3 linked regions of the Macaca fascicularis genome follow. The protein of the gene in region 2 purifies or fractionates together with the protein of the main gene of each other region. This does not show direct contact. Links are inferred from orthologs where the notes say so. Each region holds a gene or a part of one and is shown on either strand. Other genes may lie near its edges. The genes, in order: ARID1A, BCL7A and SMARCD3.

Region 1 (3,648 bases), on a different chromosome or scaffold from region 2:
TTGTCATCATATAGCAGGATGTTGATGGTATCTAATGCCCATGTGCTCTCTGCCAGGAGACCAGACTTGAGGGACATCATTACCCGCCATGCCTCCGGGGTTCCTGAAATAAACCTCCATGTCGTCCATCCACCAAGCCCGGGTTGGCTGGAGGCACCCCCAGGGTTGCCCCATCAGTGAGGCTACTCTGAAGATAACACAATGTAGAAGGCAGTTCCTGTCTGGGAGATGACACACACCAGCCCCTCATGGCTTCTAAGCTGTCTGTCTAGGACATCACTGCATGGCAATGTTTTGAAGGAAAACTTTTAGTTAGCTTATTTCTTCCTTTTCCAAAGTTCTTTGGTTCTATTTTAGTCAATACTGGACCAGATTCAACCTCATCCAGAATATTAAGGTGGAGGGAACAATGGACAAGACGGAAAGGGGCAGATTAGGCAACCGAATGAGGGAGATCTCCTTACCAATGTCTTTCATTGTGAGCCGCCTCCTCTGCTTCAACACAGGCTGTGTGGCTTCAACAGAGCCAGGTGGGAAGGTGATATCCCGCCGAATCATGGGGGGCTGCACAGGGGCAGGTGCTATGTGTGAGGCAGGTACTGGGGGACCTGCCTTCTGCATTTTCATCCCAGAGTGCAGGAATGGAGACTTGCTAGGAGAGGTGCGGTTCTCCATTGGCCGGGGCAGGGGAGCAGGGCTGGATACCTGAGGAATGTGATTCTGCATGCTTGGCGGGGGCTGGTAGTTAGATGGAGGGGGCCTTGTCATGGGGGGCACAGGGGCAGAGGGACCATATGGGGGCTGGCGTGTGCCATGGGAAGGCCACGGGCCTTCATGGTTGGCCCTCTGATCTGTGTGCAGCATTTCATCTGTTCGGTTCACGCCATGATAGGCGGGGCCCTGGGGAGCAGAGCCCGTGCTCTGCCTGTTGGCATAATTATAGGTCATGTCATTACGCCCCTGCCACATGGTGCCTTGCTGAGCAACCTCAGCTGATGCCTGTATGGGGCCGCCCATCATTTGCGGTGGCATGTTTTGCTGGGCATTGGTGCCAGGGGGTGCAGAGACACGGTCTCGGCCAAACTGGAATGGAAATTGGTTCTGGGGGCCGCCTGCTGGTCGGCGCTCAGTAGCAGCGGTGGCAGTGGCAGGATAGGCATTGCCATATTGGTTGTATACATCTTGCTGAGGGGAAGGCTGGGCAGCTTGTTGCTGGCTGGCAGGCTGGGGCTGGGCTGGGGGCAACTGCTGCTGCTGAGGTTGCCCCTGCCCAGTGCTGTATGGCACGCTGTACATCTCCCCTTCATGCCGCTTGGCAGGAGGGCCATATGTGCCATCCATTGGCCGCTTGTAATTCTAAGGCAGAGACAAGCAGAGGGGAAGTTAATACTCTGCACTCAGGGACATAAAGCCCACAGATGCCGAGATGGCTACAACTAGATGCCTGGTGGCCATAGACTCCAAGGAAACATGGGAATCACCTTAACAAATTATTTTTTGAAGTTGTTTCCAAAAGCAACCACCACTCTTTCTTCCCCTCCCTTGCTCTAAGTAGAAAAATATACAAAACCTAACGATCAAAATAAGGTCTATTTCTAGCCCCTTCCAACTCCAAATAGAGAAGAGATTGAGGACTTGGCTCTTCAAGCAGGACTGGCCAGTCAGGTGAGAGAAGAATGCCAAAATATCTAAAGTGAGCTTCTTAGACTTCAACACGTTAGTTTACTAACTAGCTTTGAAGACGAACCTGCATGCCGGTCCATTCCCAGCTACCCTCCTCACCTGCTGCTGCTGTTGATACATTGTGGTCTGCTGGCTGGGGAAGGGGCTGCCAGAAGGGGTACCTTGGGTGGAGAACTGATTGCCATAGGAATCATGTCTACAGGAGGCAAAGAAACACAGGATCAGGGTGGGCAGTGGCAAAGCCTGAGAAACAGCAGCACCAAGACCAGGCTTTACTCACCGTTGCTGCTGCTGCTGCTGCTGCGGAGGGTAGCGGCTAGGAGAATACATCCCCGAGTCTGGGTTGGAAGGCATGAGATTAGGCTGTGGGGCCCCAGTGCTCATGTTTCCCTCAGGCCCTATTCCAGGCTCCGTCCTAAACAAAATTGAAGAGACAGATTGAGCCCACTATAGCCTCAGGGTGCTGGCGGGTGGACAGGAGCTGGGGTCATGCTTACCTCACTCTGTCATAAGGACCTCCATAGGGATAGTGCTGTCGTGGTCCCATCGCCACATTTCCTAGCCCAGGGCCAGCAGCACGACTGTAGGGGTCACCCATCCCGCCGTTGGGGCCCTGCCCTGAGGACATGAAGGGATCACTCCCTGGAGCTGAGTGTAGAAAGGCAAGCAGTGAACAAACTGGTAAGTTGGCAAAGCTGGTAATATATATTTGTCTGCTCCAAAGACCCAGGCCCTCTTCAAGTTTGATCTCATTGTTTTCCAGACAAGTTCAAAACAGAGATCTAAAGAGGCCCCAACCAGCAAAAGGCATGTACTTGTTAAGGGATGACAAGGTGAGGTCAAGGAGGAGACAAGAAAGGAGGTAGGGATGAAGAGGGGTAGTTAGGGCAGGAAATGCATTATCTCAGAAGATGGCTCCACAAGAACCCTGAGCCACTCTCAAGATTTCCCACCATTTCACTGGTCCCATCTTTACGAGCACAAGCTCAAATAGCAATCAGATCAGTCACCTTTCCTCATGCTGCCATAAGGATCCTTATTTGGCTCATAGGACATGCGCCCCATCATGTCAGAGGTATTCATACTGGGCTGATACCCAGGGTTTGGAGTCATGGAATTCCGCTTCTGGAATGTGGAGTCACTTCCATCATTAAAGGCATCCTGGATCCCAACCGAATTGCTCCTGCTCCAGAGTGAGGAAAACCAATTAGACCACAAATAGACCCATTTCTCCAATGTAACACAGGACACGCAGTAGTCACTGGCTGGGAAGGCAGAGGCAAAGACCACCCTTTGGCTGCAAAGGAGTTCCCATGCACTTATCTCCAGCCATACCTCCCAACCATCTGCCCCTGCTCTTGGCCATACCTCATGCCTGGCAATGGGGGGATCTGACTGTGTGGTGTGGATGCTGGAGTTGGTGGCTTTAAGTCTCCTCCTTCTGCCATGGAACTGCTGGTTGACTGAGGAGTCTGGGGCCCCTGCATAGATCCTGATCCCGCTGTGGACAGAGATACAATTTGAGCAGTTTGCTTGGCATGAAAGTGTTTAACTCTCACACAAACACACGAATGACCCAGAATCTCTTTGGGAAAGTTCTTCCTAAGGCCTTTAAAGCCTGATCACCCTTCTTAGCAGAGGATCTACAAGGCCAGGTCATGAAGACGGGAATTTGAGGGTTTTGTAGCTCTTTGTTTTTGTTTTACATGTAGAAAAGAGGAGTGATGTGGCCATGACATCACCATGCTGGTGATTCCTTGAGTCACTGCCAGCTTCCCTGGCTATTTCTTTTCACTCCTCCAAAGGACCTTGTCTAACCTATTAAACCCTGTAATGCTGGTGCATGAGCTCCAGTCAGAACCTCCCAAATCCTGGGTAGGGAGGGGCTTCCAAATCTGGGATGTATTTTAGGAGTCTAGGAGCTCCTGTTCTGAAGCATCCAGCTTGGTGTCATCTCTCAAGTTC
Region 2 (3,648 bases):
CCTGACCTCAAGTGATCTGCCTGCCTTGGCCTCCCAGAGTGCTGGGATTACAGGTGTGAGCCACTGCACCCAGTCCCCGTCTTATTTTCCAGCTCCTCACTCACTCTTCCCTCTGCCCACACTGCTCTCCTCCCAGATCCCCATACGGCTTGCTCACTTGCCCAGTCTGAGCCTCGTCTTGTTCAAAGGCTGCCCCTGACCACCCCATTTAAAATTGCAACTCCCCTGGTCATTCAGCAAGACCCCCCACCCCCATCCCTTTCCGACTTTATAATTCTCCACCACACTTATCTCCCTAATACTAGGTTGTCTGATTTTTAAACATATTTAAACATTTTTATTAATATAATTATATTTTGAGCCAGGGTCTCACTCTGTCACCCAGGCTGGAGTTCAGTTGTGTGATCACGGCTCACTGCAACCTCCAACTCCTGGGCTCAAGGGATACTCCCACCTCAGCCTCCTGAGTAGCTGGGACCACAGATAGGCACATGCCACCATGCCCGGCTCATTTTAAAACATTTTTTTGTAGAGACAGGATCTTGCTATGCTGCCCAGACTGGTCTCAAACTCTTGGCCTCAAGTGATCCTCCCGCTTCAGCCTTCCAAAGCATTAGGATTTACAGGTGTGAGCCACCATGCCTGGCCGATTGTTTGATTTTTATTTATTTACTTATTTTTGAGACAGGGTCTTATTGTCACACAGGCTGGAGTGCAGAGGCATGATCACGGCTCACTGTAGCCTTGACCTCCTGTGCTCAAGTGATCCTCTGACTTCAGCCTCCTGAGTAGCTGGGATCACAGCTGTGTGCCACCACACTTGGCTAATTTTTTTTTTTTTTTGGTAGAGATGAGGTCTTGCTATGTTGCCCAGGCTGGTCTTGAACTTCTGGGCTCAAGCAGTCCTCACACCTTGGCCTCCTAAAGTGCAGGGATTACAGGCATGAGCCACTGCACCTGGCCTGTCTGATTTTTTTAATTCCCCCATGAGACCATGTACTCCAGGTGTCACCTCTCTTTACTGTCTCCGTGCTGTGGCTGGCACATGACAGGGCCTCCTGGAACACCTAGCCACAGACTGCCTGAAGGCCGGTTACAGGGAGGCCGTCAGAGCCACCTCCAGAGGCCACGTACCTTCAGCTCCTGGGTGCTCCTTCCCATCAGCCTGGGCCTCGTCTGCCTTGGCCTCGGTGCCGTCGCTGGGCACAGCCGAGTTGGGCTCTGGAGCGGGGCTGGAGTTGTTGCTGTTCTCCTGTTTGATGGGGGAGGCATCTGCGATGGAGCTCTGGTTGCTGTTGTCGTCTGTGGGGTGTGGGAACAGAACCACAGGATGAAATCCCACAGCTGCCAAGGACGGGCAGGTCGGAGGACTCGGCATCCCTGTGCCTCAATGCCCGGAACCCCACAGCAGCTCTCCCACCGGGGAGGGGCCTGGTTATCGGTTTTTTTTTTTTTTTTTTGAGATGGATCTCACTGTGTCAACCAGGCTGGAGGACTGTGGTGCAATCTCAGCTCACTACCTCCTCCTCCCGGGTTCAAGTGATTCTCCTGCCTCGGCCTCCCGAGTAGCTGGGATTACAGGCACCACTCCTGGTTACTTTTGTATTTTTAGTAGAGACAGGGTTTCACCACGTTGGCCAGGCCCGTCTTGAACTCTAGACCTCCGGTGATCTGCTCACCTTGGCCTCCCAAAGTGGTGGGATTACAGGCATGAGCCACTGCACCCGGCCATGCGGTAGGGGTCTGGATACTGGATACTCCTCCTCCTGGGACCCCTGAGCTCACTCCCGCCCCCACCCCCATCCACCCAAGCACCACAGCCGTCCCATGTGTCCAGAGAGGCAAAGAATTCCGGCGCTGGCCTGACCTTCCCCACACTGAGCCAACTGTACCCTGTGTCTGCAGGCAGCCAGCTGGGGACAGTGGCCTCACATATTTAAAATCTTGGGGGGACATTTGAGGCCTCATTCTGGGGGTGGAAACCAGATGCATTGTGTGTCTGGCAGAGAAGCGATACGGAAGACATGGCATGGTCCGTGAGGCGGGGCTGCCAAGACGTTCTGTCTGACTGATGCAGCCCGGAGCCGAGTTCCACTTGATAGGAAATAAAAAGGAGAGAGAGACAGCGGGAGGTGGCACATTCCACGGGACACATGGTCCACTCCCTTAAAGTCAGTATCATATTAAAAAAAAATTCAAAAAAAGTGGGGGAGGGGAGATGATTTTAGAATAAAGAAAGCTAGGAGACTCGACTAAATATGATGTATGGAAATTATTTGCATCCTGTTTCGAAGGTGCCAGCTGTAACACTTTGGAACAATTGGGGAATTTGAATATGGTCTGGGTTTTAAAAGCTATTAAGGAACTGTTGGTTAATTTAGTTAGAAATGATCATGGGACAGTGGGTATGTAGAAACATCCTGTTTTTAGCAATGCATGCTGTGACGTTTAGGTGCAGACTTGAATGTCATGAGGCAGGGAAATTTACCAGAAAATGCTTCAGTGCAGGCTGCAGGCCAGTGTTAGGATGCTCTGAACTTTTACACTTTTTTTTTTTTTTTGAGACAGAGTCTCACTCTGTTGCCCAGATTGGAGTGCAATGGTGCAGTCTGGGCTCACTACAACCTCCGCCTCCCGGGTTCAAACAATTCTCCTGCCTCAGCCTCCCAAGTAGATTACAGGCGCCTGTCACCATACCTGGTTGAGTTTTGTATTTTTAGTAGAGACAGGTTTCACCATGTTGGCCAGGCTGGTCTCAAACTATTGGCCTCAGGCGATCTGCCCACCTCAGCCTCCCAAAGTGCTGGGATTACAGGTGTGAGCCACCGCACCTGGCCACTAGCTGTGTATTTTTTATATGTGAATTATATTTTAATTACAAAAATTTAACACATCGAAAAAATAGATGAGACAAATATGGCATCATGTTCATGAAAATCAAAGTGGAGTGTATAGGGGGATTGTATCCCCCTCCCTATTGTTCTTGACAACAAAACTCTTTACAATACAAAGAAGAAAGAGAAGGGGTAATTGGCAATGGCATCCACAGTGGGGCTGCGGGCAGAGCTGGGGCCCAGGCTGCACCTCCCCTTGTCCTGCACCCCCTTCTCAAGCACATAGTCACTCTATTTCGTTTTCTGAGATGGAGTCTGTCACCCAGGCTGGAGTGCAGTGGCGCGATCTCGGCTCACTATAATCTCCACCTCCTGGTTCAAGCGATTCTCATGCCTCAGCCTCCCAGGTAGCTGGGATTACAGGCATGCACCACCATGCCCAGTTAATTTTTGTTATTGTTATTATTTTTTAGTAGAGACGGGGTTTCGCCGTGTTGGCCAGGCTGCTCTTGAACTACTGACCTTAGGTGATCTGCTCACCTCAACCTCCCAAAATGCTGGGGTTACAGGAGTGAGCCACCACGCCCAGCCATCTATGTATTTTTTATTTTTAGAGACAGGGTCTTGCTCTGTCACCCAGGCTGGAGTACAGCAGCAGAATCATAGCTCACTGCAGCCTTGAACTTCTAGGCTCAAGCTATCCTCCTGCCTCTGCCTCCTGGGTAGCTGGGGCCACAGGCATGTGCCACTGCATCTGGCTAATTTTTAAATTTTTTGTAGAGATGGGGCCTCACTATGTTGCCCAGGCTGTCTT
Region 3 (3,648 bases), on a different chromosome or scaffold from region 2:
TTGGCGAGGTCGTTTTTCTCCTTGAGCCACAGTGGCCCCATCCGTCAAGTGGGGATGAAAGGACCTGCTCAGACTGTCTTGTAGAGGAGCATGTGGATGTGAACATCTTTGAAAGGTTGAAAGAAGCCATTAATATTCATTTTTGCGGTACCTTCCGTAGCCCCGAGGCTCGCAATGCCCTGTGCGGTGCCTGGCTTCAGTTAGCTTCCTACAGCCAGACGCCAAGCCCCTCCGCCAGAGCCGCGCGTATTCCGGCGCCCCTGCCCCTCCTACCCATCGTTCCCACCCATCGCTCAGCGCTCAGGGTCACCAGCCGAGGGTCTGGTGGGGGAGGGGAGACGCCGGCTCACCGCGCCTGGAGCTGGGGGCCCTGGTCTGACCCACGGGCGCCCGTTTCTGCTTCACCCCCGCCCACCCACAGCGCCCCGGGATGCCGTCTGGAGCCCGGATGCCCCACCAGGGGGCGCCCATGGGCCCCCCGGGCTCCCCCTACATGGGCAGCCCCGCCGTGCGACCCGGCCTGGCCCCCGCGGGCATGGAGCCCGCCCGTAAGCGAGCAGCGCCCCCGCCCGGGCAGAGCCAGGCACAGAGCCAGGGCCAGCCGGTGCCCACCGCCCCCGCGCGGAGCCGCAGGTGAGTGGGAGGCCCGGCGCGGAGTGGGCGTGCAGGGGCGGGCCCTGGGGACCCGCAGGGACCAGGTGAGAGAGTAGCGGGGATTGGAAGAGGTGAGGAAGAATGATTAGCAGGGAGCGAGGCTTCCCGGATCGGATGCCCTCTGGGGAGGTGGGCTTAGGGGGCACCGGCCTGATTCTTTTGTGTGCCCACGGTAGAGACAGGCTGTGGCCGTCGGCAGCCGGTACCGCTTCCCTGCACGCTCCCCTCACCCTTCTCCTTGTCACCTGCTCAGTCCCTCTCTCCACCCATCAGGTTCTGGGTGATGCTTAAGTCTTTGGGTTGGGGGCGGGGCTTCCAGTGGGACTGAGGGCAGAGCTGTAGGACTGTGTTGCCCAAAGTGTAGTTCTCCGCTGAGCCTTCCTGCCAGACCCCGGACTGTTTCAAAGCCACTCCAGATTTTCTCAATGGGACTCTCTGGCCCTGGGGGTGGAGCTTGGGGATTTGCCCTGTGGTAGGTGGTCTCTGCCCAGTTCCGCTCTTAATTCTTAGGCACTCTGGACCAGGTCTGCTCCCAAGCCACCAGGGCCAGCCCATTGCCTTATTTTCCTCCAGCAGCTGGTGGCACCCTCAAAGCCCCTGCTGGCTCCTGGCAACAGCAGTGCCCCTCTGGATTTCAGTATTTAGCCAAATACACATGCTTTTTTTGCACAACAGATGGATTTCTATAAAAGGTGTAATATCAATTTTACCTCATTATTAAGTATTTTTTACACATCAGGGAAAATTCACCACTTATAGGAATCCCATGATGAATTATTTTGTAAAGTGCATCGTCATTTTGTACAGCAAACGGTAATTCCCTGATTTATCTTGTATAAATGGAGAGTTACACAAAGATAATCTGTCTAAAACAAACCAGACCTTTAATGAAATCTGCTTGTTAGCCTTAGATTTCTGCATAGGGAGGGGGTAGTGGTTGAGAACACCACACGGGGGCAGTATGGAGCTATTCTCTAGGCTGCGTTTTCATCTCTTGACCCGCCAAGGTTTTTCTGGGGGTTTTTGGGTTAGTCAGCAGCAGCTAGTGGGTCAGAAAGAGCTCACATCCAGCTGCTACTACCCTGGGCCTAGTCAATTTGGCCTCAGCCTGAAGTCACACCCATGCACATTCTGGGCGCCTATGGCTGCAGCATGTCCCTCACCTTGTTGCCAGGTAGTCCCAGGGCATGAGTACCCCTGCTCATCAGCATTCTCTTGCAAGCCCAGGGTGCCTGGAAGGGATGCAAGTCCCGCCAGCTTCACACCATCACCTCCGCTCCATGGATAGGAAGGAAGTCGTCTATCTCCCTCCCTCTGAGCTTAGAATCCTTTGGACAGGGCACCCCCTGCTTTCCAGAAAAGGTCCTCAGACCTGGCTTCCCTCTCCTTTGTCCTCCCTCATCCCCACCTTTCCTCAAACACTTCTGCAGCTCCCATCTTTTGGCAGCACCACCCCCACTCGCCAGTCCCTCCTAAGTCTAAATTTCTCTGTCCCTAAGGATGTGGCAGGTTAGAAGGGGGCTCCCAGGCCAGAGAATGGACGGGTCACCCCTGTGTCCTTAGAGAGGACAGAGCACCAGTTCCACACACCACCGTCATAGCCCTTGGGCGGGCAGACAAGCGGGCTGTGGGAACCCCAGCCAGGCGGGCGGAGATGTCGGGATAATTTAGCAGGTGGCCTCGTTACTCCCAGATCTGTCGCCATGGTAACCTGGTTTTTTCTTTAAAAAATGTACAGTGCCAAGAGGAGGAAGATGGCTGACAAAATCCTCCCTCAAAGGGTGAGTGTCTTTCACAGCAGCCCCCAGCCCACCCCCTACCCTTTGCTGCTCTGCCCTCCCCTCCCCCCTCAAAAGCAGAGCTTCAGTGTCACAGTCACTTTCACTTTTTGTTTAAAAAAACTCATTAATAAGTGAGGCTCCCTAGGCCAGAGGGAGGGGGTGAGGTGGAGGGAAGCAGCAGAGCCACTGGGGCCAGAACACAGGGGCCTGTCAGGGGGCTGGATCCAAGTGGTACTAAGACAGAGTTGTGGGACAAGAAGGGGGCAAGAGCTAGGGGATCAAAAGCTGCCAGGCAGAATGAAGGGGATAGAAGGTGGCCAGAGATCCTGAGCATCCTAAAGGGACCCAGGTCCAGCTGGATATGGGGGACAGCACAGTTGGGACAGGTGTGGGGGCTGAGCAATGTGCCAGCAAAGAAGAAAGCACTGCTGTCCAACTGTCCCAGGGATTGAGCCCCTACTAGGCACTTTGCAGGGGCCCAGGGGAAGCCCAGTGGGCATATGACATAGAAAATGACAGGATGAGGAGACTAAAGGCTAGTGCTTTGCTGGGTTCCACAGTTGCTACCTCCTCCCCGTGATGATACACAAGGCTCTTCCTAAAGGGAGAAGCAATTGTTATCCCTACACAGCAAGGCCCCTACTGCTGGATAATGGCATCCTGGGGAGAGGTCCTGTTCCCACTGTCAAAGCTCCATGCCCAGAAGTAGGATGGCTCCCCCGACATCTTTTGCACCCTAGGATTGCACAACATGCATACATTCCATGGTACAACCCTGGACTCGAGCCTCTGACTCCTGCCCTGCTCCTCCTCCTCCAGATTCGGGAGCTGGTCCCCGAGTCCCAGGCTTACATGGACCTCTTGGCATTTGAGAGGAAACTGGATCAAACCATCATGCGGAAGCGGGTGGACATCCAGGAGGCTCTGAAGAGGCCCATGAAGGTGCCTTAGTTCGGGGGTAGGAAGGGGACTCTTGAGTCGCGTGACCAGGATGGGGAAGCAAGGTAGTCAGGGTGGAAGCACACAGCATTTGCCCGGTTCTACACTCTATTTCTACAGCAAAAGCGGAAGCTGCGTCTCTATATCTCCAACACTTTTAACCCTGCGAAGCCTGACGCTGAGGACTCCGATGGCAGCATTGCCTCCTGGGAGCTACGGGTGGAGGGGAAGCTCCTGGATGATGTACGTCCCGGCCCAGGTCTCTCCAGGTGTC

What was found.
Region 1: the proteins of BCL7A (region 2) and ARID1A purify together in Homo sapiens (affinity purification with mass spectrometry; 5 studies listed by BioGRID and IntAct, counting the BioPlex papers as one, with this or other methods). This does not show direct contact. The link is inferred for Macaca fascicularis from reciprocal best matches to the Homo sapiens genes BCL7A and ARID1A.
Region 3: the proteins of BCL7A (region 2) and SMARCD3 purify together in Homo sapiens (affinity purification with mass spectrometry; 4 studies listed by BioGRID and IntAct, counting the BioPlex papers as one, with this or other methods). This does not show direct contact. The link is inferred for Macaca fascicularis from reciprocal best matches to the Homo sapiens genes BCL7A and SMARCD3.

What each region holds. Positions count from the first base shown.
Region 1 is NC_088375.1:208,334,810-208,338,457, forward strand, and holds part of ARID1A (AT-rich interactive domain-containing protein 1A), read right to left. Parts: intron 3,185-3,648; coding exon 3,052-3,184; intron 2,870-3,051; coding exon 2,694-2,869; intron 2,332-2,693; coding exon 2,181-2,331; intron 2,099-2,180; coding exon 1,964-2,098; intron 1,880-1,963; coding exon 1,783-1,879; intron 1,357-1,782; coding exon 465-1,356; intron 280-464; exon of another isoform or gene 104-279; coding exon 1-103. UniProt on the Homo sapiens protein: Involved in transcriptional activation and repression of select genes by chromatin remodeling (alteration of DNA-nucleosome topology).
Region 2 is NC_088385.1:129,140,628-129,144,275, reverse strand, and holds part of BCL7A (B-cell CLL/lymphoma 7 protein family member A), read right to left. Parts: intron 1,303-3,648; coding exon 1,135-1,302; intron 1-1,134.
Region 3 is NC_088377.1:192,524,438-192,528,085, reverse strand, and holds part of SMARCD3 (SWI/SNF-related matrix-associated actin-dependent regulator of chromatin subfamily D member 3), read left to right. Parts: exon of another isoform or gene 1-115; intron 116-421; coding exon 422-633; intron 634-2,392; coding exon 2,393-2,435; intron 2,436-3,254; coding exon 3,255-3,377; intron 3,378-3,494; coding exon 3,495-3,617; coding exon of another isoform or gene 3,618-3,633; intron 3,634-3,648. UniProt on the Homo sapiens protein: Involved in transcriptional activation and repression of select genes by chromatin remodeling (alteration of DNA-nucleosome topology).